4 linked regions of the Arabidopsis thaliana genome follow. The protein of the gene in region 2 interacts with the protein of the main gene of each other region in a pairwise test. Each region holds a gene or a part of one and is shown on either strand. Other genes may lie near its edges. The genes, in order: AT2G22425, AT5G43420, AT1G27290 and AT2G27290.

Region 1 (7,712 bases), on a different chromosome or scaffold from region 2:
TTAATCACAAAGTTTAGGTAAGTGTTAAAAAAAATTGAATACGATTAGTAAGACCCATTGAAGGAGACAGCTTATACGGCTCGTATCGGCTTAAAAGATTAGCTAAGTATAGTATAATTTGTCTTGTCTCGAAGTATATGGCACGTGTCGGTTATTGCAAGTGGTCCAGAGGGAATAGAACGAGTCAGCAATTAATGGGACCTATCTCTTTTTTTGTTTGCAGATATTCAAAGTCAAAAAATTCGGCCTTTTAATAAAAAAAACATTTTTGGCCAAAAAGAAAACTTTATTGCTGGCTAAGAAAAAAGATAAAAACTTTATCATATGCATGTGTCTTTACATATGCACACAACCAGTTTACTTTATATGTAGAGATTTACTAAGAGTTAGACGTGATTAAATTCTTTCTACTTTTTTTTTTTTACTTTAACATCCAATATATTTTTATCAATTTAGTTGTATAATTCCACCGCAAATTCAGTATTTTAACAAGTACTATACATTATAGAGAAAAGAAGAAAGAAGAAAGAAGAAGAGTCGCTGTCGCTCCGGTGAGGATTTGTCTGAGAGCGGCGATGTCTCGTGCTTGAGAATGCTACTTCCCTTTGCTGTCTCCATCAACACTTCCCGCTTCCCACACGCCACGCCAATATCTCTCTTTTCTATCCGTTGATTTCTTTGACTTTTCCACCTCTTTTTTATATGCATTTTAAAAAATAAAAAGAACTTACAAATTTTGTTTACTATCTTGCGGAAAAAAGTATAAACATATAAAACAATTACAAAATTGAATTTTTTTATGTTTTCACTTTTCACTGGTATCTTAGGTCAGATTCTGTAAATTTATGTATCTTGATTGATTATCGTTTTCTTAATTGTTATATCAATACTTATGCTTAGATTTACGTATAAACTACTATAATGTATAATCTCATCGAAGTTAGGATAAGCATATAGATATATTCGTCAATCCCCAAAAATGCTTCGATGGTCAATGTCTCACAGTCTCAGTGAATGCAACAAAGTTACTTAATGAGTGAATAACACAGAGGACAACAGAAGATCTACGTTAAACACGGATCTAGTAAACGTGTCTATTATCTCATGAATATATCAGTCTTGTAAACTTTTTTTTTATATTAATTGTGTGTGAGAAATCACAAAACCTTTATTGTGTTGAATGTTGGACACAAAAATGTGGTATCGTAAAACAATTATTTGATGGGCTTTAAACAGGCCCTTTCATATTTATTGATGGGCTGAAGCTCAAATAAGATCCAAATGAACAGACAAAACCAAACAGAAAAGACTTCTCAATGTCCAATGAAGAATTATGGAGTCAACTTGTTATGTCTTGCGTATGTTTCCCAAATTTTCTTGTCCTATTCTCTTATGGAGTATTAGAGTAATATGCTTATTGTATGGTTTTTCAGGTTCACAACCTTTTACCCAATTCACACAGAAACCTCTTTTCTTGACCACATTGGTAATGACACTAGCCGAGCATTCAAGATATACGTTTGTCATATATACCTTGTATTTGATTTTGTCTCTAGAGTTGACTAGTTTCTTACAATCACTGAATTTTCCTCTATTGTTTATCCACATGATGTATTTTTTTTGCGATACCATGTAGATTTTGGCTATTGCTACTTCCGGAGAGCTCTCTCTTTGTTTGTGAATTTGCTTCATCCTTCTGGTGAAGGTATACTTTTCATATCCTCTGCTTCTTCCTAATGCTGACCTAACTAAACCACTCCTTTTTCTCCACAGCTCATTTACAAGCATCCTGCCAAATGTTGGTTCTCTCAAATTCTGATTCCAAACCTGTACGCGTTCGCTGATTCAACTGTCATTTCGTTTCATAAGCCTATGACCTACCTTTAAGCGTTCGCGTTCGCCAGATGACTCGAATCTCCCGGAATATGAACCCGTGCAAATCCTCTGACCAGCGACTAGCGGAACAGTTTGGAATCACACAAACTATTTCTACTTCGACTCAAGAAAATAAGAAGGAGCAAAGCATCAAAGACTAGCATTGGTTTTTGCACACAAGCTTAACACAGAGTGTAAATGGATGGTGTGATATTTATGTACCATTTTCATAAAAACTGAGACTTTTGTGATTCATAAGACTTTTTCATCTAAAACTCTCTGATGATAGATAATCTACACAATTCAGTGAAATTGCCAGATTACAGCCATAGCCATTGATTCAAAAGCAAATTCCTTTGGCAAAAACAGATAATTATAAGAATCAACCCAGAATATTCAATTCATAATTAAGATTCCGATCCACAAATATCTCATACAAACAATTCTGAGAGAGAGAGAGAGAGAGAGAGAGAGAGAGATTCAGAATCAGACCTATTTCTTAGAGAATTTCTTCTTCGAAGCAACACTGACAACTTCTGGTTTGGGATGCTTCTCGGCTTCGCTCGGATCTAACCATTTGAGAGGATGAAGATTGTAGAAAGGCCAATTAGGTACAGTAACCAAAGTCGTGAGAACAACACCACCGGCATAGATCAGCATCATCGTCCTGAACGATTCCGTTGTGTAGCCAACAACCACCGCTACAACGCCGGAGATCACCAGTAAGATCTGCATCAGCTGCTCCACCAGTTTCTGTCCTTGCCAATCCATTTTCTTCTACACAACGAAATCAAAAACCATTAGCGATTTGAATCCAAAGTTAAACAAAAGAGAGAATCTGAGAACCCTAATTGCACAAACCTTTAGCGATCTGATCTCTCACTGAATCTGTAAACCTGATTTTCAACAATGGGGAAGAAAAGAAAGGACTCTTGACATTTATGAGCTAAGACCACAAAATCGGTTTAAAAGTAAACCGGATAAAGTGGACGGTCAGATTACTCTATAACCGGGTGAACCGGCGGTTTTTAATGTGCCTTAATTATTTCGAGATTTTGTATATGTGCAAATTCTGAAACCTTGAAACAAGGAATATTTACATTTAAGTTTCTTTGTGTGTACCTCAGAATTAGAATGTTGCTACTTGTCCAGTCCATAATTTGTTTATTGGGACAACAACTTCAGTGATTAGATAATGTTTACTATTTTATAGACTGGTGTGACCAGATTGTAGCTTTAGCAGTGACCAGTATTCATAAACCAAAATCAAAGTTTTGGAGAACCAAGATCCATGGCATGTAGCTAAAAAGATTTGCATCAATTTAGAAGTCATAATTAAGATTTCTTCTCTTTACTAATGATAATTCAAGATACAAGCAATACATCAATAGGCCTTCTATTAACAACTCTACAATTAAACCTAATCTCACCAGGTCTCCCAGATTGCAAATCACCCAACTTCACCATGCCTTCTGCAAAAGCCCTAAAGAACTCATCTTGATCCTCACTAAACATCTTCACATACTCTCTCGTCACTAGATTCGTGTACAAAGTCTGATCAGAGTTAAGAAACCCTCTCCCTGAAACCAAGTCTTTGAAATACTGATTATCAAAAACCTGAGGTGTTGCATCTAGATCTCCAGTCACATTCTCATCTCCACCCAAAGGACAAAGCTTATCAAGCTTCTTACGGTAACTCGGTTCAAGAGCTGGATCCGGTTTACCAGAACCGGATTGGTTATAAAGTCTGAACATGATTGAAAAACACCGACCTTGACCTATTGAGTGTGACCCTGATAAAGCAACCATGTCTTTTACAGAAAGATTGAATCTTTCGAAGAGATCAATCAAGAAAGTTGCGTTGGCTCTTGGACTTGGCATTATATCGTCGGAATCTTGCTGACTCGCTGTTAAACTGTCTTTCCTCCCTAGCTTCACTTCCCAATCTGGTCCTCCTGTCTGGTTTTTTCAAAGACCAAAATTACAAAACCGAGATTTCACTAAACCGGGGAAATTGAATTTTGACTTACAAGAGCAACGGCGTCACGAGCGGCCATGATAACGATATCGGCACAAGAAACAGTAGCTGGACAAGCTTTCTCTAGAGCTTCTTTAATGTCGTCAACGACTTCGAAAGATCTTAGTGAATCGATGTTGGAAAGTGATAGTTTTTCACCAAGCATGTTTGGTGTGTCGTCAAGCAACAGAGATGCGTCACATCCCTGAATTTGATGATTCAAAGAAAAATTCAGAGAGGAAAACAGAGTAAAGATCAAGAACAGAGAGAAAGATTTATAGTGTTTACATTGACGAAACAGTCGTGAAATTGGAAACGCATGACGGAAGCGACGCTTCTTGCTTCTTTGATCATTGCTTTCTTCATTTCTCTTCTTACTATGGATTCAGCTTCAGGGCATGTCTCGCTGTAGAATCTTGGTCGGAGAGTTTCTCCAGTAACAACCACCGTCAAAAGTGTTAGGTAGAGGATGAGATGGGGAAGAAGAGACATACTTTTTTCTTTTTTGGTGTTGTGTTTCAGTGATTGAAGAAGAAGTAGAGACTTTGTTTGTTGGGTTATAAAGAGGTTTTTGGTGGTTTTCGAGAATGATACTAAAGGCTTTTGTGTTTATAGATGGAATTTGTGCAAGTGTGGTCTCTGGTGGTGGTGGGCATTCCAATTTCTATAATTTATTTCTTTAATAAATAGAAATAAATAAATAAATAAATAAAGAAATAAATTTTCTAATTATAGAATTGGTGCCAATGGGGGATTAGTGTAGTAATTTGGTAAAATTATGGGTTTGTGAAATTATTGAATGATGAATCTGAAGTAATGTTAAATGTTTGTTAAGTTTGGATTATTGCAGTGTATATTAGCTGGCAAAAATAAAGAAGATAAAAGGATAATTGATCAAATTTTTTTTATAAAGGTGTGAAACTTTTGTACGTAATTGTTAAAATTGGTAAAACATCCATTATACAGTATTTAGATGAACAGTACTACTCTCTTTGTTTATTATTGTATTTTGTAGGAAATTTTTTTGATTCGAAAAGATAGTCATTTTTAAAATTTCTATGCAATATTTATTACTAGTTATTATTGATGTGTAAACTTCAAGAAGAATAATATATTTCTAATCAACTTTTAATATGTTTTTTAAGATGTGTGAAAATCCTAAAAATACATTAATAAGAAACATCTTATGAAAAATAATTACTATTAAAAACATCTTAAGAAAAATCTAAATATATATTCATAACATACAAAAATAATTACTACTCCATATTAATAAGATACATTAATACTAATAGTGATTATTTTTGTATAATATGAATAGTTAGATTTTTGTTATTGTATTCAACAACTAGTTAAATATTTATACAAGAATTTTGTTTATGTAACGTATACAAGAAATAATGCTATAATTAATACTATTGATAACAATAATGAAAAAATTGTACTATTTATGAAATGCGAATGATCTAGCTAGAACCAAACATTAATCCTGGTCAATGTTCATAATCAAATAGTGTAACTAACACACATTTATTGATAGGCTTTTAAAGGTCACGATGAATTTGTGAGTGAATTATTCAACTCTTGATTTTAAACCTAACGTATGGTCAAGGCACTTTTTGACTTTGTAAAAAGCATACAAAACCTTATCTTCACATTCACGTTGGTTGGCCAAATAATTCATACTATATTTTTTTTTACAAAAAAGCATGCATCTTTTATTCATTTATTGTTTAATACTTTAATGTGATCAGTGTCGTCGTAGTGCTCAATGCTATAGTTACTCTACGGCTAATAATTTAAGGATAAAATTAATAAATTAAGATAAAAAGATTAGCAATATAATTCTAAATTATGCATAATTTACTTAAAATTTAGATGTCAATTTTTGTTTTGATTTTTTGTATTTTGTTATATAACAACACTTTAGTGGATAAAATATTATAGTGAGTTGGTGTCTTGAGATAAGAGAATTGTTGTGAGAAAGGGAGGCAACAATTTCAGGCCATTGGTTCATATTTTTTAGCAATCAAACAAGAAATTATCTGAAACTCGAAAAGTGACTGACACTACGGAAGTCGTCATCATCATGACCTTGCGTTCTGAAACTCTAAAAGGTACTGATACGTTGCCGTTTTTAAGAGATTATGTTGTCCCCATCTTTAGTTGTCAATTTTTGGTTGAACCAAAAAAAGAGGTTGTCAATTTTCGTATGCAAATTTATTACACTTCGGAGAAACGGTCACAATTAATTAATACATAGGACTCGGAAGGTATCTAGTTTCCTAAGAAATTTATAGAATTCGAAATCAGGAAATGGGACGCACATGGAGGTCATTGTATTTGAGGTTCACCAAACCAATCCTTACCAAAAGAAGAGAGGATATCAATAAATATTGACCCACATTTTAATTCATTAAATATGGGTTTTTTAATATTCCTTCCGTTTAATAAAGAGTATCATTTTGACATATTCACACAATTTTTTTTAATTATGTATATATTTGTTTCTGTTTAACAAATAATAAATAATTTATTAGTTTTAGGTTAATGTTAAATCAAAAAAACTCAGTGTATAAATCATGTTGAAAAATGTAAAATGACACTCTTAATGTTACTATGTTTTTATTAAACTGGCCAATTAATACACAGGAGATGTCATTTGAGTTTTTTTTTGCCCTCAAACCCATTTCTATACTAGTTTAGACCAAAGATGCCTTAATACAAAACTCAGCAGTTTCATTCAGTCCCATTAGTTATTAGTAATCTCATATTCCGAAAATAGTACACTCAACGAGCTCCTCATATGCCTTCCAAGACAATGTAAGCGATCATAAATTTTCTCAGATTCCGGTCTCGATTTATCCCTAACGATGAACTCACAGACAATTCCATTAACCTCAATGGAACTACAACCAGGAATCTTCTCTACACCTCTCTCGTTCATCATCCTCCTCGCTCTCTTTGCATCTTCCCACATATTAGCCTCTCCATACATGCCATCCAACAACACATAGATCCCGCTATCACTGGGATCAAGTTCGAGAAGTTTCTTAGCCGCTTTCTCTCCCAGCTCAACATTACCGTGCATCCTGCAACCGAATAATAATGCTCCCCAAACCGCAGCATCTGCCTCCATTGGCATACTTTCCATGAGCCTGTCTGCTTCTTCTAATAGCCCGGCTCTCCCTAGCAGATCTACCATTATAGAGTAATGTTTCAATTGAGGGTTTAGGTTGAATCTAGACTTCATCTGAGAGAAATAATCACGGCCTGTTTGGATCATTCCACCATGGCAACATGCTGATAATAGTCCTATGAAAGTGATCTCGTCTGGGGCAATCCCTGCATCAATCATTTCGTTGAAGTATGATATAGCAGTGGATGCATCTCCATGAAGGGCTAAACCTCCGATTATCGCTGTGTATGTAAGCGAGTTTCTTGTTTGAATTCCGTGAAAAACACTGAGAGCTTCTGAGATGTTACCACATTTGGCGTACATGTCAACCAATGAAGTTCCTAGCGCAACATTGAGACTAAGACTGTATTTCTCGATGTAACGATGAATCCAAATGCCAACATCAAGAGCACCAAGCTGAGAACAAGCAGATAGGCAATGTATCATGGTGATTTCGTCAGGCTTAGTGTTACTTGTTTGCATCTCCTGGAACAATGCCAAAGCGTCTTGACCACGCTTGGCTTGGACTGATCCACCGATCATTGCATTCCACAGTACAACATCTTTTTCTTCCATATCATCAAAAAGCTTCCTTGAAACATCAAGCAAACCACATCTAGCATATCCTGAAATCATTGTAGT
Region 2 (8,559 bases):
AACTACTCTGTTACCTTCGATGCAAACGTTGCTTGTGGCCAACCAAGTAAAGCTGCAACCATCTGTCCTGTTTGATTGCAATCATCATCTATCGCCTACAGAAAAAAAATAACGTTATAAATCAGTAACCTTCACATCAAACCTCATCAAAACATTATGCAAACTCAACATTATTCAAGACATTTTAAGACAGTTTTCAAGAATTTACAAAGATCAATGTTCATCATCCTAAACAATCCACAACACACGAGTCAAAACACGAATCTTTTGCATTCTAAAACCTGAAAAACCTCAACTTTAGCTAAGATTCAGTACACTAAAACAAGATCTAGAGATTTGACGCATACACAACCAAAGTTCAAAACTTGACAAGCAAATCAGAGCCAAACATACCTGTTTCCCTAAGAAAATCAATCCAGGATTCTCAACATCAGCTAAACTCTTCAAGATCTTAGCAATCGTCAAAGGAAGAAAAATAGAATTGGTCTCAACATGGATTCCTCGATCAGCACCCATAGCTAAACCAGTACGAAGTGTATCCACACATTGTGAAGGTCCAATACTCACTGCAATAACCTCTTTAGCAAAACCAGCTTCTTTGATTCGAAGCGCTTCCTCAAGCGCGATCTCACAAAATGGATTCATTGACATCTTCACATTTTGGGTTTCTACACCAGTCTGATTCAACGATAAAGGAATCAAATTTAACGGTGATTCAATGGTTACAGAGAGATTTAGAGATGGGTTATGCGTGTACCTTATCGGGTTTGACTCGGATCTTGACGGCGTAGTCGACGACACGTTTAACGGCGACGAGAATCTTCATTGGCCGGGAACAGCAGAACAAATGAAGCAGTAAGCAATTTTGATTTCTGGATCTAAAGGATGGTGATGATGACTCATCAAAAAGAAATGGCATGGTATTCGGTTTAATCCGGTTTAGATGTCTCGGGTTTCAGTTTTTCCTTTTGCTTCTGTAAAAGGCTGGTTTAGGCCGAAAAAAATAATTGAAAAAATGGGTCATACAATACAACATACCATAATAGGTCTTAGTGGATCAGAGTCCATTACTTCAACAACACTAGTAAAGTCTGATTTAGTACAAAGAGACTTACCAAGTTTGTTAAATCCTTAAAAATCATGGATGGTATTTTTCGTTTTGGCATTTGAATGTTCTATCCAAATCAAGATGAATTTATATGATGTTTGCTTTAACACAACAAAAAACATCAGATAGATGTTTTCAAGGAGATTATGGTTTCTTTGTAATTTGGATATCATTGATTATATGAGGAGGAGATTTTGACGTAGAAGTGTGAAGCCCTCCATGAGTTTTATGTTTAAAAGAAATAATTTTAAGTTTTTCAAACTTGTCCATAATTTCTCTGTCACACATAATACAACTCAACTTTTTTGACTTCTAAATCTAAACACGTCTATATTCTCTCCTACCTCACCGACCAAATAATTTTAAAAATCCATCTCAAAAATATTTGAAAATGAAATAATAGAAATCAAATGTAGAAAGGAACAAGAAAATAAAACAAATAAGCAAAGCGGCTTATTAGGGTTCAAAATAAAGTGGCAATTTAGAGGAACTTCTAGAACGTCTACTGCTCCCAAAAGAGAAGAAAGATCTCTTCACTTTGGAATTACTAACATTGCCACTACTACTGCTACATCCTCCTCCGTCTCCAACCACCAGAACTTCGCGGTTTTTCCGAATCGCCTCTTGAACCGCCAAGTAAAGCTGTCTATCCGCCGATGAATCCATTGAGATTGATCTTCTAATGGGCTGAATACTACCGAACTGTTCGTCTTTACCTCTTCTTATGTCGATGCATTCGTCTCCCATACTCGTCATCTTGTGAAGCTTTCGGAATTTTCTTGGAAGCCCTCCGCGGTCAAGCTTCTTCGGAGATGGACTGATCGAATTTTGGGTGTTTTCGTTCAGTAGATAACCTGAATTTGACCTTTCTTGTCCCGTAAGTAACCTTCCGTGTCTTGGACTATCTCTGTCACTACCGATGCTACTGCCCAGCTCAATGACCACATACTCGTTCTCACCTCTTAACATGACCAGATTCTCGGGAGAAGTGCTCGGCGCAGAAACCCGATCCGGAGGAAAACTTGTGTCACAAGAAACCCTAGTTCTACACAAAGGACAATTGGCGTTGTTCTGAAGCCACACATCGATACAGTCGATATGAAACAAATGAGAACAATTTGGGATAATCCTCAGCTTCTCCTCATCTTGAAACTCACTCAAACAAACAGAGCATTCTTGAGATCTCTTCTCTTCTTCTTCTTCTCCTTCTCCTGTAAAAACGCCGTCGTTTTGGTCGTATCTCTTCTTGAACTTAAAGATTGGGATTGCTCTAATGACGGATTCATCAAGACCGCGGCTTCTAAGCTCTGGAGAGTAAACCATTAAAGGATCTTGGTCGTTGCGTCGCCTTCGAGATAACGAGAATCGACCAAGAATGTCGATTCGGTGCCAGTTGAGACAACATTTGATAACAAAAACATAATAGCTTACAAGTAAAAATGCTGTGGCTAAGATTCCGATCACCGCGACGGCTAAGATCGGAAAACTCGTCCCCGTAGAGCTCGCACGGTGGAAAATAGGTGGCGGCGGAGGAGGAGGAAAGCTCAGATCCCGGAGAGGATTGCGACGGTTTGATAGATCCATTATCTGACTTATAAGAAGAATCTCATCCTCTAATGGAGAACTAAAGAGTAAACTTTGAAAGTTCTTGAAGAAAGAAGATTGGTATAGAAGAAAAACAGAGGAGAGAGGGATTGAGTAAAATGAAAGTTCGGTGAGATTTCTTGGGCTCTTTATATGATTATATTAATATTTTTCTTGATCGGTGTGACTCGTTTACTACAAGAATTCTTTTATATCAAGATTTAAAAGTAGAATTGAATATACAAGTTAAATTTGATTGGTGGGAAAATTGAAAATTTGTTTGTTTATGTACTAGTGGTGGGGAACTTTTTTTATTTAAGAAAAAACCTGACATATATTCGCATTAACTAGGATTTTTTTATATATAAAATTGTTTGCATTGATTGTTATGATTATATAATTTTATCTACGTACCTTTTGGGTTTGGAGTGATGTTGCTTTTGATTCTTGTTATTCATTTTGATTTGATATTTTCTGATAGTGAAATTTCGTCTAAGTAGATATAAATTTGAAATTTTAATTAATGCGATGTAATGATGATATAAATTTTGTCACTAAAACATACCATTTAGCAATTATTAAAATCGATATATTTGTTTATGAATATGATTTATGATCTAACACTATATGATTGTCGGTTGCAATTTAATAATTAGTTGTAGACTTTCTTGTAGTAATGAGGTTACCGATTATAGAATCTTTCAAGTTTCAGATAAATCTCACGTACACATTTTTTTTCTTCTTTTAAATATTGATCATTTCAAATTGTTTTTCTAGTACTGTATACAGTATAAGCTTCACCAAAAACGCAACTTTGAAAATACGTTAGGGTTATATGTTACCATTCTTTTTTTGTCATCCAAAATTTAAGAACTATTAATTGTTTTTCTTTGTTAACTATTAATTGTCACCCATACTATTTAAGAATTTTTTTGTAAAAATATATATTTTATATTATAAAATAACTTAAATGATGAGAGTGGCCGGTTAGTTTTGTTTTATTTATGACAACGTGAGACTGGTTAATCATCCAATTCATCAGAAACAGTATAAAAAAAAACATCCAATTCATCTTAACAACAAAATAAGTAAGTATCCAATTCGATTATATCGTTTCTAGTCTATAGCTAATATGATATATAGGTACGACGAATAAAAGCTTAAAGAGATGAAGATGATTGAAGAGGTTAAAATTAGGATTTTACAATTTTATTTGAGGCATAGACTAATGATTGGAAACGTTTTAAAATAAAAAGTTTAGTAGGACTTTTATAACACGTCCATTTCTAGTCAACATAGATTAATCATTGCTAATTACAAATTCAATAAAAGAAGGGAAAAAATAAAAAGTAAAGGCGCACATGCATTCCACCATACCTTTGTATTCACATAATAGCTTATACTATAATACATTTATACATGCAAACTATATTTTCATATTGATGCTTAGTTAAGTAAATGAGATGGCATTTTTTAAAAGTCAACATTGTTCACCGAATTTTTGAGACGGCTTATTTGGTACACACTCAAAACCATCAAATAGTGATACATCTACTTAAAATTTTAGAGTTGAATGATATCGTAACTCGATCCAAACCTTGATGTAACCAACACAACTCAATCTACTTCAAAGATGATATTCTTGAAATCCAATGTTTGAATACAGTCCATTGTCCATGTAGAAGCCCTTGAGCCTCCGCAACTGACATTTGTTTCGGTAATTTATGTATACGTACCTAGCCGAAGAACCAAGTTTTGATGATATTATGTGTAGTCTATTGCTTTGTATTAGTACAATAACTATATTAGAATTTGAATGTAAATTTTTGAATATGTATACACCAAAACTAAGTAAATATACAACATACACTGCATGTAAAAATTACTAATAATTGAGCTGCAAGATAAATATCATTTTGGTATAACTTTTGTTGATTTCAATTGTCTTTAATAAATTTTTGATATCTTGCTCAATTCATCTTGACAAGAAAAAAGTATACTCTTACACCAACAAACGAAGAGTGTTAAAAAATAAAAAAAAAATAAAAAAACGAATAGTTATGATGTTTTTTATATGAAAATTCAATTTTTATTACAACCAACATAAGAAAAATCATTTTAAATTAACTGCTACATCAATAGTATTTTTATATATCATAAGCGTATTGGAAAATAAAACAAAAATCTAAACATCGGATACTATAACTTTTAAGAAAAATATATATGAAAACTATTTTCTTTTGTTTTCGTAATTACTGCAATGATGCCGATAAGAAAACATTCAAGTAACTTTCATGGTGGGGTATAAAATGGAAGACCATAAAATTGCCTAGTTCCTTTTGGAAAAATCCCGAAGAAAAGTCAAATCTTACACACGATTCCAATTTTCGTTTCCTTTTTGATTTTTCACCATATTTTCTATTACATTCACCACAAAAAGCAAAAGAAAGAATGAAATAGAATATGGACCGACACTGCTTCCGTAGTCTATCGTGTATTCGTGTGTGTATGTTGACGATTGTGTAATTATATTATTCAATAATTAGTATCTTTTTCACATAAGACAATAATAATAAATAAAAAATTGATGGCCTACGCCTACCTTTAAAATGAAATGAAAAGAATAGTTTTAAACTTTTGCTTATATAATAATTTGGCAACGGAATCTTTGTTTCGTTCGTTTCACACTAGTCAAGGTGACAAGGAGAGTCGTAATATATCATTGTTTCTCACTTTCTCTTATTTGTGAACAACTACCAAAACTGTTAAACCTAGCCCCTTTCCTCGGGATCGGCTTAGGCTGGCTAGCAAAGGATTTAAAATTGCATGCAAATTACTTAGGCAACGGGAATATGTTTTTTCCCCCTTAAATAGAGATGAATAAATAAAATTGTGTACCTTCCATACGTATTAAAAACTATAATAGATAAATATTATATAATGATGTATACAAATATTCCATCAAACATTTGTTGGTAAACAAATTATATGTACGTGTTATTATATAGGCATAGCTACATGTGTCTTTTTTGTACTATTGATTACAACTCATGCTCATGCTCATTGCAAATGCTACAATCCAGAGAACTGCACAAATTTCATCAATTACAACTCATGCTCATGCTCATTGCAAATGCTACAATCCACATGGAGAGGACTAAATCTGTTTATCATAAACTTGGTTCATTTCACTATTGTTGCCCTTGTATCACTGGTTTGTTCATGAGTCATGACATATTTATAATTTTATTTGTCTACATTTCAAATAATATAGATAATAGTGTTTCTTTTTTTAATCTGGTAAGAAAATAAAATAAAAGTGTTCGAAGCTACGTGAATTCATTTTGTATAGTTGGTGTGTGATTTCTTTAGCAAAAAAAAATATTGGTGTGTGATTTTTTCACCGCTAATAATTTTTATGACGAAAAATTTGTCAAAGTATTTTCCAATAACGTCATGAAAAGCCATTATATATTACCATACTTTACACATTAATTAATTAGAAGAAGAAGAAAATTCACTTGATAATTCCCTACCATAATATAATATACATGATGATTGCCACATTACAACTTCTGAAATATGAATTAGTAAATATTCTATATTTATTTGAACAAAAAAAAGTATTCTATATTTATAGTAGCATAGTGAATGTACTTCAAGAGTTATTTCAATTCGAGTCTCATTGATAAATCATATGATATGTGTCATATTTAGACAATTTGATATCTTTATTGTTAGAAAACTGTATAATCCTATATGATATGTGTCATATTTAGACAATTTGATCTCTTTATTGTTAGAAATTGCATAATCCTACATGTATTAATATTATGTGCTTATGTTTTTGCTTTATAAGAAATTACAACGTTATCTATTAGGAACCACGCGTAACAAATGGTTGATAAAGTCAAACTAAATCTTCTTTTGACTTTAATCCCAATTGACTTTGACTTGGGACTTATGGTATCATCATTCCACGACTTGCGTTTGGTTTGACGTTTATTTTATACGCAAATGAATGGAATTAGTAGCAACTAGAACGTGATCACTGGTGTGTCACGTGAGTACATCCGATCATATACACACAGTCACATACCACACACGAGAGATATATACTCTTTATTTGAGGATATCTAGTTAAGTAGTTACATTAATCTTATAAAATAAAATTGTAATTAAAGGAAGGTAATCAGTGATTACTGATTAGTGAGATTAAAAAGATTAAAACCCTAAGCCGGTCAACTAGCACATGTGTTATCACGTGCGTAGAAAGTACGATTTGATTACTCATGATTTTTCTTTTGTTTTAAATTTTTATAATAACGCATTGTAAGATTGTTTTTTTTTATTACAAAAAGTATTGCTTTGCATTTTTAATGTATATTTTTACATATTATTTCAATTTATTAAATTGAATAAAATATGTATTGATGTAGTCATCAATAGTATAATCAAAAAAAAAAAAAAATATATTTACTATGTGTAAATTCCAAATGACACTTGAATGAAATTATGAAACATAGGTACGTAATATTTTCCTATCAATTTTAAACAAGAACAAGTTAGATATCTTCAAATCAAAAATCTTGAAATAAAATTTCAATGACGACATTTATCATGCATGTTAGCTCGAATTAATTGCTAATGAACAATGCTAAAGGCTTTTCCTTAGGTTTTTGTAATTCGCAGATCCATCTGAGTTATATGGGCCGAGATATTTTTTCTATTCATAGCCATTAACCAAAAATGTAAGCGTTCAAGAATCTGTATCGAATGTGTAAGGTCCAAAACTTCCTTGTTTAACAAACTCGGTGAATTTTGATTCTTTTTTTTTTTTTTTTTTAATTTCGGTGGAAAAGATTTATCATCTTTTAATCAACGTAATATCATACAAAAAAGGAGATTGGCTATCCATTTATTATAAAAATATCTGTAATTGAGATAAACCTGAAATGGTCATTGAAATCTCATTCAAAAAGAGACCGGTTGTAAATTCCGTATAAGGATTTACAAATGTGAAAAAGTATAGGACGTATTGTTATTTTATTTTGTTCGAGTGTTATAATTAGGGTTACTTAATGGAATATTTACATGGGTGCAAAAAAGAGAGAGGAGAATATAGAAAAAAAGAATCTAAAAAAAAATACTTCCAAAGAGACTACGAAGCAAAACAAAGGTAAAAGAGAAAAAAAAAAGAGCACAAGTAGCCGTAAGTGTACTCAAAACCATAGCTGAAGAATCACTTGAAGTTTGAGGTGTTTTCCAGTAGTAATTCAATTCCAAATTGTTTTGTCATTGACCTAGTGAGCTGATTGATTGAGTGTTGTGTATTTTGATGAGTGATGTCAGTCCGTTCTTTCCAAGTATACTACATAGTGGCTTGGAAAGTAATACAAAGGAGGATGTAGCGTAGTGTGCAACTGATCCTTGGAGGAAGCAGAAACTGCATTTTGAGCGTGTGCAACATGTCAAATTCTACAATATATTGACCATCACTTATAAAATGGCAAATTGCTTGATTTCAAGTAAAGGAGGAAAGACCATTTTTAGTTGCACAAAGCTAGTCTATAGCAAACTAGCAACAATGGATGAAACATGATTTAGCACAGATGTTGATATTGTGTGTCTCGCTTTTAGAAGATTTGGGAGGATATTGTTGAAAACGAATTCTTACATGATTTGGTGAAAAAACACAAATGTAAAATACCCTCAAAGATATTTAAAAGTTTAATAAGATATAAACTATAAAAAATATTAGTTGGTATTCTCTTTATGTAATTATGAAAGTTGTTTGTTTTGCAAAAATAAGTTCGGTACCTTGAAATTTTAATAGAAAGAGGTTCTATAGAGTTTTTTTTTTTTTT
Region 3 (8,455 bases), on a different chromosome or scaffold from region 2:
ATTTTCCATGTTAGTTAAATGCTTTAAAATATTATCTTAGTTATATCAGAATTTGATTAAAAATCTTTAAATGGTGTAGGAATCAAATGAAGTTAGTCAATTTACCAATTGAGCTATACTGTTGATTGTCCCATATATTAACGGGCCCAACTTGAAAAATATAAGGCCCATTTAAAGTATCGTCAAACACTCATTTCAGTATCTCTAGTCTTGGTCCATTCGTATAATTTTTCAGTAAATTATCTAACCCTCTCGATCCTCTCTCGCCTGTTGAAAAAGCACGACGCAAGAGCTAAGGATCAAAAAGGAAGACGAAGAAAGAGATGGATCCAGACGCTGTTGCAAAGGCTTTCGTTGAGCACTACTACTCCACCTTCGATGCAAATCGTCCAGGGTTGGTTTCTCTATACCAAGAAGGATCCATGTTGACCTTCGAAGGCCAGAAGATCCAGGGCTCTCAGAACATCGTCGCTAAGCTCACCGGCCTCCCTTTCCAGCAGTGTAAGCACAACATCACCACCGTCGATTGTCAGCCTTCTGGTCCCGCCGGTGGTATGCTCGTCTTTGTCTCCGGCAATCTTCAGCTCGCTGGTGAACAACACGCTCTCAAGTTCAGCCAGGTTTTTTTTTGCCTTATCTCTTTCCCTTGGGTTTAGATCACTTCGATTTTTAGTGTTTCCTTTGTATTCCTCGCTGTTGATCATGTACGATAGGGTTTTTATCCTTACTGCTCTGTAGATTGATGTGTGTATTAGGTCACTAAAAGCTTCAATGATCTGGAATTGTCTCGAAATTTTAGACCCTCCCTGATGCATTTAGTGATAGATCTGTGATAAGGTTGGAGATAAAAGAGGTTTCCCCCAAATGATTGCGTAGATCAGTAGATGTAATCTTGTGTCATTTAGATTTTGTCTTGTGGAGCTTCTATCTCCTTGCACTTCGTGAATGTAGTATTGGGAAACTGCTTTGCCATGATTCTGCTAGTTTTTTTCAACTATGCTCATATGTGATCTTGTTGTAGTTGTAGATATGCCACCTTCTTGATTAAATTGTCTCAACTCTAAATAGTTTGAGATGCTTGCAGTGTTTGTATCATCTGCCGTAAGACATTGTTTTCTCTTTTTAGTGTTGAACGCTCTTTACTAGATTTGTTCGATAAGAGATGTTTTTGTCATTTTAGTTCTTCATATCAAGGTACTAATTGTGTTTTGTTATCATATTTGTATGAACATCAAACTTGTGGAATGTATGTATAGAGCAAAGTGGGATGAATTTCTGTCAACTTGACCTACTTGTAATGAGCTACGTATGCATCTCTTGTGTTGTGAATCACGCACTGGATCACTATATGATTGTAACATAAATCTGATGACTGCTTGTTGTTTGGATTTTGCCTGATTCCTGACATACTTGTGTTTTGTGTCCAGATGTTCCATTTGATATCGAATCAGGGAAACTACTACGTGTTCAATGACATATTCAGGTTGAACTATGCCTGAGGAATTTGATGCCAGAGGTACATGGAACCATTATTGGAAGCTGAAAAGAGAGTGGTGGAAAGTTTGGGACTATTCAAAAACTGTTTGAGTTGGTTTTAGATTTGGAACATTAAGCTTTGTTTCAGGTGGTTTGCTGTCTGTTTTTATTTTAATCAATGGAGCTATTTGTTACTTTGTTTGAGATGACTCCTTTTGTTTTCGGGCACTGAACCATGATTCAGTAAGGGTAAAACAAAAGATTTTTTGAAATACGGTTCTCTTTTGGAACCCTTTTTCATGTGGAAAAGTTTGAGAAAGCAACTATTCTTTCGCATTTTGATCATATAAAAGTAAACTACTTATACTAAAAGCAAAGAAACAATGAGGGTGACCCCTGTTCCTAAATAACAACTGGTATTATTGAGTCACAAAGGGAAGCTATCATTCTTCATCGTCGAAACCGAATTCTCGCAACAGCTCGGGCACTTGAAGTTGAGGTCCAGTGTGTGATCCATTCCCATGGTTGTTTTGGTCATTGGAGTTGGAAGTCCCCGCAAGTTGGTTCTTGATTGGACGTAACTTACCTTTGAACATTCCATTAAGCATACCTCCGATGGATCTGACTGGGTGGCTTATTCTATCTTTCAACATGAAAATCATGGAGTACTCAGAGAGCTGCCAAACCAATGTCAGGATGATCGTAGCCGAGAGAAGTACATGGGTTATTTTGTTCTGCTTCTTCACCTTCTTGATGTCTTTAGCTATTTCTTCTATACTTTCTTCCAATTGTCTCTGGCCCTCGCTTTTTCCTTTGGATGGTGAAGAATCTGCAGATTCTTCTTCTTTTTCTTCTTCTTCTCCGGTTATGACATCTTCTTTCCCCTTGGGGTTTGGTGATTCCAACTAAGTTATTGGCAAAAAAATTAGCACAAGCCTGAAATGGACACATCCCAATACAAATAATGTTGTGGACATGAAACAGCAACTAAACACAATCATGAAGATAAGCTTGTATTTGTTGGATCTCATCAAAATCGAAGCAGACACATCACAGCGAAACAATTACACAGACTCACTCAAATACTCATGATTCAATCATATACCCAGAAAGTTGATTGGCTGCAACATCAGATAAATCAACAAAGGAGAAAACAGAGCGATGGTAAAGTACCTGAGAGATAAGGCTAGAGAGGAAAAGCTGATCATCAGCGTCTTCAATGAAGGCGTCACCAGAAGCTTCTCTCTTCCTCTTCTCATGAAGAAGCTTCTCAATAGCTCTACTCAGATTCTCCACATCCTCACTGGACTCCATTTCACAAACCCTTCTTCTCTAATCTCACCGCCGCTCCAAAGATGCGTTTGTTGTTTATTGTGTTTTTTTAGGTAGAGAGTATTTTTGTTTGTATTGAGAAGGCAAGTCAGGACACGTGACATCTATTGACGGCACGGCACCTCTACCATTTTTGAGCAATTTGACATTGAGATGTGCAAATAGCGTATAGTCCTCCACTAAATAAATATACTTAAACAATAATAAAACATGTAATAACACACACAACTCTGCACGACTAAACCTCGATTCACACTAGATTCCGTGTGAACTTGAAGAGACAATTATTTAAAACCATAAAAGAGATCAAGAATGAGCAAATATTGTAAGAAGATTTAAAGGAAGAGATATCAACACAGAGTGTTTCGAAAATGCAAGGAAATCGAAAGAAGTGCAACAGAAATCCTAAAATCTTTTTGTATGCTTTAAGAAATGATCATGTTACATAAAAACGACATACATGAAAGCACAAATAACAAGGCTTCTCTATTTCTAACAGTAGTTAAATAGAAAAATTCTTTTTTCGAAATGTAAAGAAATATAAAACTCCCTGATATCCACATGATTTTCCCAAACCCCCCCAACAAAATACAGATAAAGAACATAGAAAAACTCTATCGGATATATGTGTTTATATAATCAATCCTTCTTCTTCTTTTTTTTGTTCTGCTTCGCTCTGCTCTGCTTCCGGATGATGTATAGATTCTTCACCTCTGTTGTTTAATCATTTCACAGAAGCTTCCATTCTGCGAATAGACATGTCAAACACAAACATTATTGCAAGAACATGAAACTAATACAAACATAGGTTTAATTTCAGACAACAAAAGTAATGTGAACATGAATAATATGATCCACGAGGAAACAAAAGAACAATATCGTTTCAGTCAAAGACAGAACAAACATCGGTGTGCTTTTCAATAAAACCCTAATTCGAACCTCCATTTCTATCAAAATAAGGACAGAACCAAAACCCAGTGGAATCATTTCTAGATGATCAATAAGGAAACTTTGGTTAAAATCTAAACAGATCCGAGACGAAAGTAGAAAGCTTGAATCATTGAAACCAATTTGACAAACTTAACCCTAAAATTCAACAAAATTACCAGAAATCTCCTTTCCGGAAGGAGAAGGTGGCGTCAAGACGTAACAGAGAATCGACCTCCCGACCATAGAAATGGCAGAAACGATGCCAGCGACATAGAAAACCAAAATCAGAGCAAGAACCCAAGGCATCAAGAGAAACCCGATGAAGAAAGTCACAGATCCACATAGCATAAGAGCCACAGATATACCAAGCAGCAACGACGCGAATCCAGACGGAGAAATATGAGCCAAAGAAGGCGAAGAAGACGAAAAACGATGCGAAGAAAAGGGAGGACGAATTCTAGCGGGCGGATCGGGGAAATGATCAGGTAAAGAAATCGGCATAGGAGGAGAACGGAGAAGATTCAAAACAAGAGATGATAGATCGTAGAAAACCCTAGATTGTTGTTCATCTCGTTGCCTTCTCATCATCACCACACAAACCAAAAGAAAACACCAATCTAATCCAAAAGAAAAATTGCTTGAGGAAGAAGATAACTAAAGGGTTTGCTAAAACCGAGGCGAGAAGATAAAAGAAAGAGCCGCAAATTTGATTGGGTTAGAGGGAAGAAGGTTTAATGGCGATTGCCAACAAAACACGATAATCTCTCTGTACACACAACAAAAACGATCGAAATTTCTGCAATAAAAGACTTTTTTTTTTTTATTAATGAAAAAAATCTAAAATGAAGAATCGTCGTGTTTTGGATAACGAGAAAAAGTAAAGGGAAGGAGCGTGGGGACACGCGATGGGGTTGGCGAGTGAAGAAGGGAAAGAGACAAAGATGGGACCCAGTTATGACGCGTAGTTGGGTCTTATCTTCTACCACATTCTTATCTAACCTCTCTCTCTATTAAATTTGTTCCAATCATACCAGAGAAGTCGTTTTCTTGTTTGCTTTTTGTTTAATTTTTTTGGTTATTTAATTTTGACTTTCGTGTATAATGTTCGTGAATCAAATAAAGACTGATAGCTTTTTGCGAGAATGACCGCACTTTAAGCTGTCTATCGCTGAGGTTCAAAAATCAGGCTACTTGCTGTTGGAAAATGAAAGGATTTGTGAAATGATTAGTAGACTCAAGATATTATCATTAAGGTCCATGATGAATTATTCAAACAAATTAGATGAAGTTACCATTCGATTAAAACCCATTTAAGTTTCACAAGTCATATAACTAAAATTGTTTTGCTCAGGGCCCAGTATGAAAAATCAAACCAAAACTAAGAAACAAGTGAAAGTGCAAAGCAAAATAGCCCACAAAGAAGAAACATAAACCACGAAGCAGCTTCGGTTGCCCTTTAATGAGTTCAGTTATCTATGGAAATACAGATACTGATGACAAGCAATTGCAACATCAATTCAGAGAAAGAGAGAGGATTACAAATGTGAAGCAGAAGCCCTCCTATTATTCTAGTAACAGAGCTTATCCAGTGACCTCTTTTACTTATTCAGTTCCATCTAAAGAGCTAAGCTTCGATCCAAAAAGAACACACATGTTCAAACATGTGACGCATTCAAAGAAACAGTGGCAGCAAGAACCTTGAAGTATCGCAAATGAAGGGAAAGTAAGCACATGATCAAACTATAGTATTGAAGGCTGAATAATTCATTAGATGATATAATTACAATATATATAGGGACTACATTAGAATGAATTAGGGATTAATGATTTACTAAACTATCCTTTACTTATATACTCTACATGCCCCCTCAAGATGGAGGGAGTTTGCTCACTCCAATCTTGCTTGAAAACTGAAGAAAGTGTTGACGAGGCAATGGCTTGGTTAGAGCATCGGCAAGTTGGTCATGTGTTGATATGTGAGAGACTCGTAGTGCACCGGCACTCACATTGTCGCGAATAAAATGATAGTCCAATGCTAGATGCTTCATTCTTGAATGGAAAACCGGATTTGCAGAGAGATATGTGGCACCAACATTGTCACAATATATCACAGGCATCTTTGGTAATGTGATGCCTAACTCAGTAAGAAGAGAGCATACCCATCTAATTTCTGAAGTTGTGTTTGCAACAGCCCTGTACTCGGCCTCGGTGGAAGAACGTGCGACTCCCTTTTGTTTCTTCGAGCTCCAAGCTATGGGTGTAGAGCCAAGATACACAATATATGCATTGGTGGAAACAAAATCGTCATTGTCCCCAGCCCAATCAGCATCGGAGAATGCATGAAGCGAGAGAGGAGAGTTTGAGCGAAGTAATATACCATGAGTAGCAGTTCCCGCAAGATATCGAAGGACGCGTTTTGCAGCCTGCCAATGAATGTCTGTGGGACGATGCATAAATTGTGATAATCGATTCACAGCATACGCAATATCCGGTCGTGTAAACGCCAAGTATTGCAAGCTGCCGATCACTGTCCTGTATTCTCCGGGTTCGTCTAGAGCAATGCCAGAGTAGAGTGAAAGTTTAGGATGTGTCGCCATTGGTGTGGACACCGGTTTGGCATCTAACATCTTCATCCTAGACAACAAGTCATAAACATATTTATGCTGCATCAAATGAAGACCTTGTGAGGTTCTTGTTGCCTCTATACCAAGAAAATATACCAAATCCGTCGGGTCCTTCAACGAGAATCGCCGAGAAAGAGCGGTGATGAAAGCCATTACCAACGCATCACTACTTCCCGTGACAATAATGTCATCAACATAGACCAAGCAGTAGACGATTTGGATGTCGTTGATGTAAACAAACACTGATGTATCAGCGAGAGAATTGGTGAATCCCAACGAGCAAACAAAATTTCTCAACTCTTGGTACCAAGCGCGTGGAGCCTGTTTCAGGCCATAAAGCGCCTTCTTAAGGCGACAAACGTGGTGTGGTCGATCGGGGTCGATAAAACCAGGTGGTTGTGTGACGTACACCTCATCCGTCAATGTACCTTGAAGAAAAGCGTTGTTTACGTCTAGTTGTTTAATTGTCCATGAGCGAGACACTGCCAATTGTAGAACTAGGCGAATTGTGAGAGATTTAACCACAGGACTGAAAGTTTCAGAGTAATGGAGTCCATATTGCTGCCGAAAACCTCGAGCCACCAATCTTGCTTTATACCTGTCAAGAGTACCATTAGGAAGATATTTTAGTGTAAAAATCCACTTTGTGGAAATAACATTTTGATTTGGTTTTGGTGGAACCAATTCAAATGTATTATTCCGTATTTGGGCATTGATTTCTTCTCCCATAGCGTTCCTCCATTTTTCATCTCGTAAAGCCTGGTTCACCGTGTTTGGTATTTGAGGTCGGGTTTGAACTGTTTTTGCTAGGAGGGAGAGTTTCGTTTTGGGCTTGGTTATATGATTTTTAGCTCGGGTTCGCATTGGGTGGTTGTTTGTCGGAGGTGGTGGTGGTGGATTTGGGACTGTGGACGTGGCGGAGGTAGAAGACGATGGTGAAGATTCTGGGCTAGAATTTTGAGGTGTTGGTGACGGGCTCGGATTGGGCTCATTTTGGGTTTGGATGGATGAGCTTGGATTAGAATTATTTTGGCTTTGGGCTGAAGAACTGCTTGTTGGGCCTATGAAATTATTCCTGTTATCCACTTGTGTGTTATCTTTCGATACCACAACATCATTATTCGTCGAGGACGAAGACGATGAAGTTTCAGCATTTGGCCGGCGGTGAGAATCTGAGCTTAGGGGCGGCAGCGACGACGGAGCTTGTACGAGTGGCGGAGATGATGACTGAATCGGAATGCGAGATGGGGGTTGGTGACATGAAGGGGAAGCTTCTTCTGGGCTTGAATTAGAAACTGAATGGGTATCGGAGATGGAAAAAGGAAATTGATCCTCAACAAACTGGACATGTCTTGAAGTGTAGACACGACCAGAGCTTCTATCAAGGCATAAATATGCACTTTGGGTTAAGGAATACCCGAGAAATACACACGGCTGTGACCTTCTTTCCAATTTGTGATTGGTATATGGGCGGAGCCATGGGAAGCACGAACATCCAAAAACTCTTAATTTGAGGTAATTTGGTGAAGTCTTGAAGAGCTTCGAATACGGCGATTCATTATTGAGCACAGAACTGGGCAAGCGATTTATGAGGTAAACCGCAGTTCCAAACGCATATGTCCAATATGAAGTTGGAATAGAGGCTTGAGTGAGAAGAGTTAACCCGGTTTCGAGGATGTGACGATGTTTTCGTTCTGCAATTCCATTGTGTTCCGGCGTGTGAGGAAGAGAGGTCAAGTGTGAAATGCCGTGTGTTAGCAGGAATTGTCGTAGCGCAATGAATTCTCCACCGTTGTCAGAATATAATGTTCGGATTTTGGTTTGAAAACGATTCTCCACTAGAGCTTTGAACGCCACAAAAGTCTCCCGTACTTGTGATTTTTGTTTCAATGGGTACAGCCATGTATATCGGGTATAATGATCAACAAGGATTAAATAATATTTAAAGTTGTCGACAGATGTAACTGGAGAAGTCCAGACATCAGAGTAAACGTATTCAAGAGGTGTGTAGGAGATAATTGTGTTTGAATAAAACGGAAGCTTATGGCTTTTATTAATGAGACAATGAGAACAAGGAAAATGTTTTTGAGAGG
Region 4 (8,121 bases), on a different chromosome or scaffold from region 2:
ATCTCTTTCTCAGCCGTGTCTTTCCTCAGAAAGTTACTCTCTTTCCCAATAAAGTCAAGGACATTCTCTAAAAACCCTAATGGGTTTGAAGGATTAAAACTTGCACTAAAAGGTAACGTCGAGAGTCTCGCCTCCTCCATCTCAGAATCAATCGCCAATAGGTTCGTTTATAGCTATAGATTTTTTGCACTAGTCAGGAATAAAAAATCAGAATGAATTTCTTTGGTCGTCAGTGGCTAAAAAACAATGCTTGGGTCTTTCCATTTAATTCTCTGTCAAATCCCAATTTCTAAGGTTTCCATTTTCCTCAAATTCTAGCTTTCAAAGTTTCCTTTTTCCTCAATTTTCTAACTTTTACTTTTTCCTATATACCATTCAATTTGATCCACTAGGACATTTAAACTGACCCTGACAATGTGCATCTCAACGTAGGGGATTTTTCTTTGTTCGTTCTCTTCTTTATTAACCATCAAACCTATTGCATTTGTAATGGAAGTAGACCCTGTAATATAAGAAGCGTTATCTTGAAAAGTTACTTATAAAAAAGAGGGTGGTCGATAATCAGAAGAAGACAAGTTCACCAAGATTTAACTATTGGACTGAAATCAGCCAAGTTGCACATACTCTTCAATTTTTGCCTTCTTACGGGCCAGGAACCTCTCTTTAGCGGCAGCGATCGCATCCTCTCTTCTCTTCTGGTCGTTAATGGCTTTCGGCACTTCTTTTGCTGCCTCTTTGATTGATGACTTTCTCTCTTCAGTGCCATCTGAACCCATCTCCTTTTCAGAAACTGCTTGCTCTGCTTCTAGTGGCTCCAAACTTTTGCTACGACTTGATCCAAATTCTCCCGAGTCAGGAGATACTTCCTTCTCCGGTGATTTTCGTTTCTTCTCTACCCTTGTTACTTCTTTTCTCAGCTCCTCGAGCTTCTCTGCCTTTCTTTGTTCCTCGAGCTTCTCTGCCTTTCTTTGTTCCTCGAGCTTCTCTGCCTCTTTAGCTTCGACTTCTCGAGCTCCAAAAGCGACATTTTTTCCAATGTTGAAGTAGAAATCACTCAAATCTTTCTTCTTAGTAACCTAACAGAAGATGAAAACAAAGGAAAAGAGCTGACATGAGTATTAATAGCTATAAAAACAAATCACTTTAATTTTACCAAAGCTATATGCTATATATCTCCCCATTGCTAATACAGAGACATGAAAATGGTTTCTAGACCCACCCATCATGTCCTAAAAGCCACCACATGCAAACTACCTTGACACAGTTCCCAAACCAAAGCTACTTAAGACAGAAACGTAAAAGGACAAAGATAGGACTTCAGCTATCCTAGCAAGTACTAGTTTAATAGACGAGAGAGATAGAAACACAAACATGAAATAAAATGAACAAGGAAACAGAACTTACATCATCTCTTTCCTCACGAAGTTCACGCAATCTTTCTTCTGCCAGCCATTTCTTTTGTTCCTCAAGTTTCCTTTTATAAGCGCCAGTAACAAACTTTTCTTTATCCGAAAAAAGATGTTCGTCTTTCTCCCTCTCTTTCGCAAGCTTTCTCTCATAAACTATCTCATGTTCTTTCTCTCTACGTTCTGCCTGTTTCATCAAATTCTGTATATACCTTGGCTGCAATTAGAAAAAGAAAACTAAATGAAACATAAGCAATCCAATAAGTCATTCTGAAACCTAATTAAAGTGCCCCAACTACAGAGAATGTAACACCATAAGAAACTACTAAAACTGACGCATGTAGAGGCTCAGAAACTTCACCTCTACTTAACTAAAACAAAGTAACTAAGCTTTACACTTTTTGGTAACTATATGTAGCCATGGGTTATAGGCTGGTAGTTGTTAGGGTATTGCAGGATATCAAGATTTTGGTGGTTTCTAAGGGTAATAAGAAAATCCAGCTAAGTTATGGCTTCCTATACTTCAATCATATGATAAACCAAGCCCGACACAGATCATAGATTCCTCTTAAGAACATGGAAACATAGATTTTGATTCCCTAAGCTACAGAAGCTTCAAGTCTTAAGCTCTCTAAGAGATAAACATTACCTTGCGTTCTTCACGATCTTGCATTCGAGGAAGAACAGCTTTCTGTTTCATATCATCATAAACTTCATCATATGAAAAAGCAGAAGGATCCTCCTCTAAGGCTTTCTTATGCTGCTCCTCAATCTAAAACACACAATCACTTATCAAGCAGATCAAATTGAAGGAAATATAAGAAACAAGAACTCGAGTCAGTGGAGGAAAAAAGCTTACTTCTTTATGAGCTTTGGTCTTTGTTGCTTGACGAGAAATCTCCTTCTCGACGTCGTGATCTTCTTCTTCATCAAATATTGAAGCGGGTCGAAGTGGAGGTCGAGATGATGATTGTTTTTTCTGGGAAGGAGCTCTGATTTGCAATCCGTACTTCTTCATCTTCGATTTCTATTCCAGGAGCAACAAACTTCTGCAAAATCGATTGAAAATTAGCGCAATTCCTGCGAAGTCCCAGATTCTGGAAAAACACTAATCAAACCCAAGCATGAAATAGGTAGATTTCGCTGTAGAATCGATTAGGGTTACAATTCACAAAAGTTGATTGGTGTGATTTTCCCAGGATTAAGGAATTTAGTAATCCATGGAAGAAAGTGAAAGAGGAAGGGAGGAGATAAAAAGATCCAATTAACTATAGATGGTATAGATGATTACGGCCCAATTGTTACGGCCCAATGTTTTCATATTTTGATGGGCCGAGATAATGAGGTTCTAGAGTACAAGTTAAAATGCATCACCAAAACGATCGAGGTCATATGCTCTGGATCACAGAGATCATTCCCAACCATTTGACAACTACTTCTCCCACTTACCAAATGTCTAGAGGTTAGTGAATCGTGAAGTCGTAATTTCCAACCAACCACATATTAAATAGACAAGTCTAAAACTATATCACAACTTGGATTCTGCCACTCTTTGGTTCTGTATCTTTCTAACTCATCATCATATTCAGATATGCTTCAATCTTTTTTGTACATACAAGGTAGAGAAGTGAGGATTGTACAGGATTATGTATGTTGATTATCAAGTAATATATAGAACATCTACATTATAATACCTCCAAAGTAAGCTACTTGTCATCATCCTTCTCCTTGTCCACTTTCTTCCCAATCCAATTGGCTACAATAGGAGTCAAAGCCACTGTAGGCGGAAACCTTATCGGAGATGCAGCTTTATGCGCTGCGTAAGCCAAAGCAAAGGCTCCTACTTTCTCTCCTGTCTCATTCGTCGAAATCCCAACCTTAAACACAAAACATCAAAATCAGCTTTACTCAACCCAAGATCAAGAAAACATAAACTTAGTATGATCAAGAAGTGAAAGTAGTAACCTTTAGAAGAAGAGCTTGAACATCAACACCGGAAGTCACAAGGACATAGCAGAGTGAGAAGGAAATGAGAGAAAGAGTAATAGATGTAGCGAGATAAGCACCACCATACTTTGCAAGTAACTCTTTAGCCTCATCTGTTTTTGATTTCTTCTTCTTATTGTCTCCATCACTTCCTTCATCATCCTTAGAGCTTAATATCTAATCACAAGTCCATCCAAAACACCATTTTACTACACAAAAACTTCCATAGATTCTACAACTTCCAAAAATGCTCCAAACTAACCAATCACATATGCTCACTTGTTGATAAAAAAAAACACCATTTTAGCATAGTTAAAAGCTTACATAACTTCTACAACTACCACGAAAACGATCATATCTACTCACATAATCATCTAAACACCATTTTAGTACCCTTAGAAGCTTCCATAGCTTCAACAACTACAAAATTGCTCACATAATCATACAAAACACCATTTTAGTTACACTTAAAGCTTCAATAGCTTCTACTAATACCAAAATTGCTCTGAATTAGCCTATCATTCAGCTCAGAAACAATCATATGTCCTCACATGTTCATCCAAAAACACTATTTTACTTACACTTAAAGCTTCCATAGCGATAGAATCATCAATTTTAGATTACGAATTAAAACGAGAAATTGCGCAATCGAATTGATTTTACCTTCCATAGACCAACTTCAAGGCCATATTTCTTGGTAACTTCTTCGGCGGAAGGAGGAGGAGGAGAAGAAGACGGCGGCGAAATGTTCTTATCAATGTCCTCCGCCTTCTCACGGACGGCTCTGCATCTGAATTTCTTCGAGGAAGCTGAAACTGAAGAGTGGAAGAATCGGATTTGAAGGTTTCTGGTGTTCAACAAGGAAGACGAAGGAGGAATTTGCAGAAGCATCATCGCCATTGTTTTTTTCAGCCACCAAAAAAAACAGAAAGCAAATCTTTTCACCTTATTATTTTTATTTATTGTATGACACACAATTATTTTTTATTTTTTTCTGAAGGTATACCATTTGTTGTATTAGAGGTTCCAGAGTAATCTTTTACATATATAAAACTTTAATATAGTATAAAAAATCCATAAGTAAGAAAAATATTTTTAGACTATTTTATAAATATAAAAAACTACAAACAACATTTGTTTGATTCTCAGGCGTTTATATTTTGAACTGAAACTTTTGTATATCTAAACATAGTCTAAAATAATTTATTTTACTTATGGATTTTGTATAATTTATTACAATTGTATATAACTAAGAATATCACTTTGCAATCTCTAATACAACAAACAGCAAAACTTAAGGAAATGGTGGTATTATTCACATTTACTATATGTGAAATTTGTTGTCTCTATTTTCACGGAACTATCATCTCTTTCCCAAAGCTTTCACCCAGATTATAAAGGTTTACTATCCGAAAATATTCTCTTTTCCATAAAAATTTTGGTTTGTACACAAGTTTGAATAATTGTTAAGACTAGCTCAACATGCCATATTGCCATAGACCAAATACTATATTTATTTATGTATAAATAATATGTATGTCGTAACTAGCTTTAGTTCCTAGCTATTAATACAGTCCAAAAGAAAGAAAATAAGATAGCCAAGAAAACAGTAGTGGCCAGAACATTCTTCATCAATCTCTGGCTATCATCTTTCTTGATTTTGAACGGGTTCGGGAATCTCCAGCTGGAGTCGGTTCCGGCAACGTTCTTGATCCTGAACAAAGCGTAACAATTCATTGTTTCCGTTGATTCTTTTTTTATACCACATTTTGACCTCTTACTCGATGACTCGCTTGATATTGTTTCTTGATGAGTTGGATTAGTTGGTCGAAACGCTTGGCTAGCTTTCAACGCTTCTTCGTCGAGCTTTATTATATCATCGTTCAGAATCTCGGCGTAACAATCATCATCGGTATCGGCCTGATCCTGCATCGCAATAGAAAGAGATCAACTTCAGTTACAAACTCTAAACTCTACCAGTACAAGAAAACTAAGGATGTTCAGCCCAAGTGTTGGTTTAGTCTATTGAGTTATAATATTAGTAGCCAAAATAAAAACCAAACATTGGATATATTGGTTTGTTACGTTTTAAGTTTAGAATCTGCTTTAGTAAAATAACAACTTTAGTGAAATCTAATGTACTATGAATCCGTTATAGTATGGTACTATGGTGTTGGTTTGGTTTTAGTTTCTTAATCGGTTCTGTTTTCGGAACTATATTGAATTTAATGTGGTTTCGATTAAGATTGGAGCGGATAATTTTACCAGTATTAAACATCGTTAAAAGACACATTCCTCAAAAGCAAGCTGACCTCAACAACATTTGATGATTCTGCGATGTCACCATTTGGTATCTGATGCTCAGATTCATAGTAGGATTTGTCCTCCTTCTCCAAACCACCTCTTTGGCCAACGTAGCCATCGTCTTGCACAACACCATCCTCCATTTTTTGGGTCGAACTAGCCCGAAAATCAGCATTTTTTCTTAACCGGCACACCACTAATGCATCCTGTGAAATCCAAATTTCAATATATCTCAAAACATTAAAACTCAACCTATTCAAAATGAAAGTTTTAAGAACCTGTGGGGCTCCATGGATGCAGTATTCATGCATAATCCACTCCGTTCTCTCGCCACGAGGAGCCCGACCGATATGAAATACAAGCGTTCTCTTGGTTCCAACAACTTGGTTCCCGGATTTAACACTCCGCTCTTTACCGGTCGCTTTCCAATATCCTAGCTGTGTGGCTCGCCGGCTTTGTGACCCGTGCGGGTACTTCCTCCCCCTCGCGCAGAAGTAAAACCACTCGTTCTCCGATTTCAGTTTCGATTCCTCTGTTTTATAGGCACAAACATTCAAATTAGTGAACCAAAGTAAACATAAAGAGAAAGAAAACCGAAGTAAAACCTGGCAAGTCCCACGGCTCGAACTTGTAAATCTCGACCTCAGCAATCACAGCAACAGAGTTCTCATCACCATCGATTTTACGACGAAGATAGTACGAGATAAGTTCAACATCAGTAGGAGAGAATCTAAAACCAGGGAACAAAGCCGACACCGCGATCGACATCTCAGCTTCTTTAGACATTGTTTGATCTTTTTGGCTCAGGAACTCGAAAATACTTTGCTTTAGATGAAGAAACATGCCTTATAAATGGCAAGTGTGCAGCTACTTTGCTTCGGGTAAAGGTTTTGTGTTTTTTGATATTTGGCGGCTTCAGAGGGAAAAAGGATGACGTGGACAATGACTGTAAGAATTGGGCGAATAACAGAAGAGTGTAATGAGATAGTAAAGGACAAAAATGATAACGTGGTTATGTATTATTGGACAGAACTCAAACCCAGCTCTGAAGTTCTCTCATTGATGCTTAATAAATCGTCTCTTCATTTTTAAACACGTGTTTCGATATCTTCCTCGGTGTTTGTACCCCGCATGCCAATAAGTTTTTGTTTTTGTTTTTTTGGGTGTAATAACTTATCAAAATGAATTTTTGTTTTTGACGGCAATCAAAATGAATTTAAATCACTTTGTAATTATTTTATTATCTTGCGCCAAGATATTTTCTTTTGTGTAATACAAGTTTTATATGAATCTATTTTATTATTTTTTTGTCGATGAATCTATTTTATTAAATACATTATATTTTTTTATTGCAATTTCTAATCTATTACTTTATTAGCTTACGTCATCATTAACGTTTTAGTTATTTTTAAAATATATAATAAAATCAATAAAATCATATCCTAACTAAACTATATATCCAAATTTGTATCCGTGTAACTTTCTCTAAACTAGTTTTATGTCCTCTAAGCTCATATTGGAACTTATTTGCTTCGAAAGATGGGTGATTAATCTAAACGTGATGGATATAAATTTTAGTGTTCACGTAAGATGATTATGGTTACGGTTATTACGGGTACGGTTTATTAACCATCAGTTACAGTTATAAAATTTTTTAACCTTAACTTTAACCACTATCTATGATTAAAATGATTACGGTTACAACAATTATGATTATATATGGTTATTGTTATTTGATGATTACAATATAGTTAATATTGAAGGCGAAATCTTAAGAATTACCCAAAATATTGTATTGCTTTTAATAAGATGAAAAAGTATATTGTACACCAAATTTTCTTCATATCAAGCAATGTAGCATTCCAACATATTTGTTTGAGAAAAAATCTTATTATTTTCTAGCTTAGATTTTTTCATATCTATTATTTACCTTTTTGACAATTTTTATCCAAACATTCGATATTTGTCTTTGCATATACACGATTACAACTATATTTTGTCTTTGCATATACACAATTACAACGATTATCCAACGATTTTGATACAGTTACTAATAATTAACGGTTAGTATTTTTTTTAATAGTAACTAATTTGTTTTTCAGTTATCGGTTACAGTTTTTAACCAGATTTAGTAACAGTCTGGTTACGGTTCGAAATGCGGTTACAAAATTTTGATCATACCTATACTCATAGTTGCAATCCAGGCAATGAATATGAGATGTGTTGTGTGTTTGCCTGTGGATATTGCCGTTTGGTTAACATAAAAACTGATTTGTGTTTTTTCTTCACCCAAACCATCAAGTCTATAAATCCCTAACCCACTAATCTGCCGGAAAAGAACCCCTACTAATCTAACAAACTGAATTGGGCCCTAAGCCCACACACGTTCGCAACAAACGGAAACAATAATTTTTAATCTATACTA

The links.
Region 1: the proteins of AT5G43420 (region 2) and AT2G22425 interact in a protein complementation assay, tested with the Arabidopsis thaliana proteins (one large-scale study listed by BioGRID).
Region 3: the proteins of AT5G43420 (region 2) and AT1G27290 interact in a protein complementation assay, tested with the Arabidopsis thaliana proteins (one large-scale study listed by BioGRID).
Region 4: the proteins of AT5G43420 (region 2) and AT2G27290 interact in a protein complementation assay, tested with the Arabidopsis thaliana proteins (one large-scale study listed by BioGRID).

What each region holds. Positions count from the first base shown.
Region 1 is NC_003071.7:9,510,013-9,517,724, reverse strand, and holds AT2G22425 (Microsomal signal peptidase 12 kDa subunit (SPC12)), read right to left. Parts: upstream 3,031-7,712; 5' UTR 2,737-3,030; intron 2,653-2,736; 5' UTR 2,647-2,652; coding exon 2,368-2,646; 3' UTR 2,051-2,367; downstream 1-2,050. Other genes in the region: AT2G22426 (uncharacterized protein), read right to left, coding at 496-708; AT2G22420 (Peroxidase superfamily protein), read right to left, coding at 3,241-3,834, 3,906-4,097, 4,181-4,384; SLO1 (SLOW GROWTH 1), read right to left, coding at 6,645-7,712. UniProt on the Arabidopsis thaliana protein: Component of the signal peptidase complex (SPC) which catalyzes the cleavage of N-terminal signal sequences from nascent proteins as they are translocated into the lumen of the endoplasmic reticulum. Dispensable for SPC enzymatic activity.
Region 2 is NC_003076.8:17,445,923-17,454,481, reverse strand, and holds AT5G43420 (RING/U-box superfamily protein), read right to left. Parts: upstream 2,995-8,559; 5' UTR 2,693-2,994; coding exon 1,565-2,692; 3' UTR 1,358-1,564; downstream 1-1,357. Other genes in the region: ETFBETA (electron transfer flavoprotein beta), read right to left, coding at 15-95, 394-678, 758-919.
Region 3 is NC_003070.9:9,477,659-9,486,113, reverse strand, and holds AT1G27290 (uncharacterized protein), read right to left. Parts: upstream 4,710-8,455; 5' UTR 4,327-4,709; coding exon 3,915-4,326; intron 3,555-3,914; coding exon 3,538-3,554; 3' UTR 3,122-3,537; downstream 1-3,121. Other genes in the region: NTF2A (nuclear transport factor 2A), read left to right, coding at 324-620, 1,428-1,499; AT1G27300 (uncharacterized protein), read right to left, coding at 1,920-2,381, 2,650-2,790.
Region 4 is NC_003071.7:11,675,474-11,683,594, forward strand, and holds AT2G27290 (FAM210B-like protein, putative (DUF1279)), read right to left. Parts: upstream 4,447-8,121; 5' UTR 4,293-4,446; coding exon 4,056-4,292; intron 3,570-4,055; coding exon 3,372-3,569; intron 3,284-3,371; coding exon 3,113-3,283; 3' UTR 2,832-3,112; downstream 1-2,831. Other genes in the region: AT2G27280 (coiled-coil protein (DUF2040)), read right to left, coding at 1-140; AT2G27285 (nuclear speckle splicing regulatory-like protein (DUF2040)), read right to left, coding at 606-1,076, 1,405-1,623, 2,056-2,178, 2,266-2,424; NTL8 (NTM1-like 8), read right to left, coding at 4,944-5,318, 5,705-5,902, 5,975-6,228, 6,302-6,482.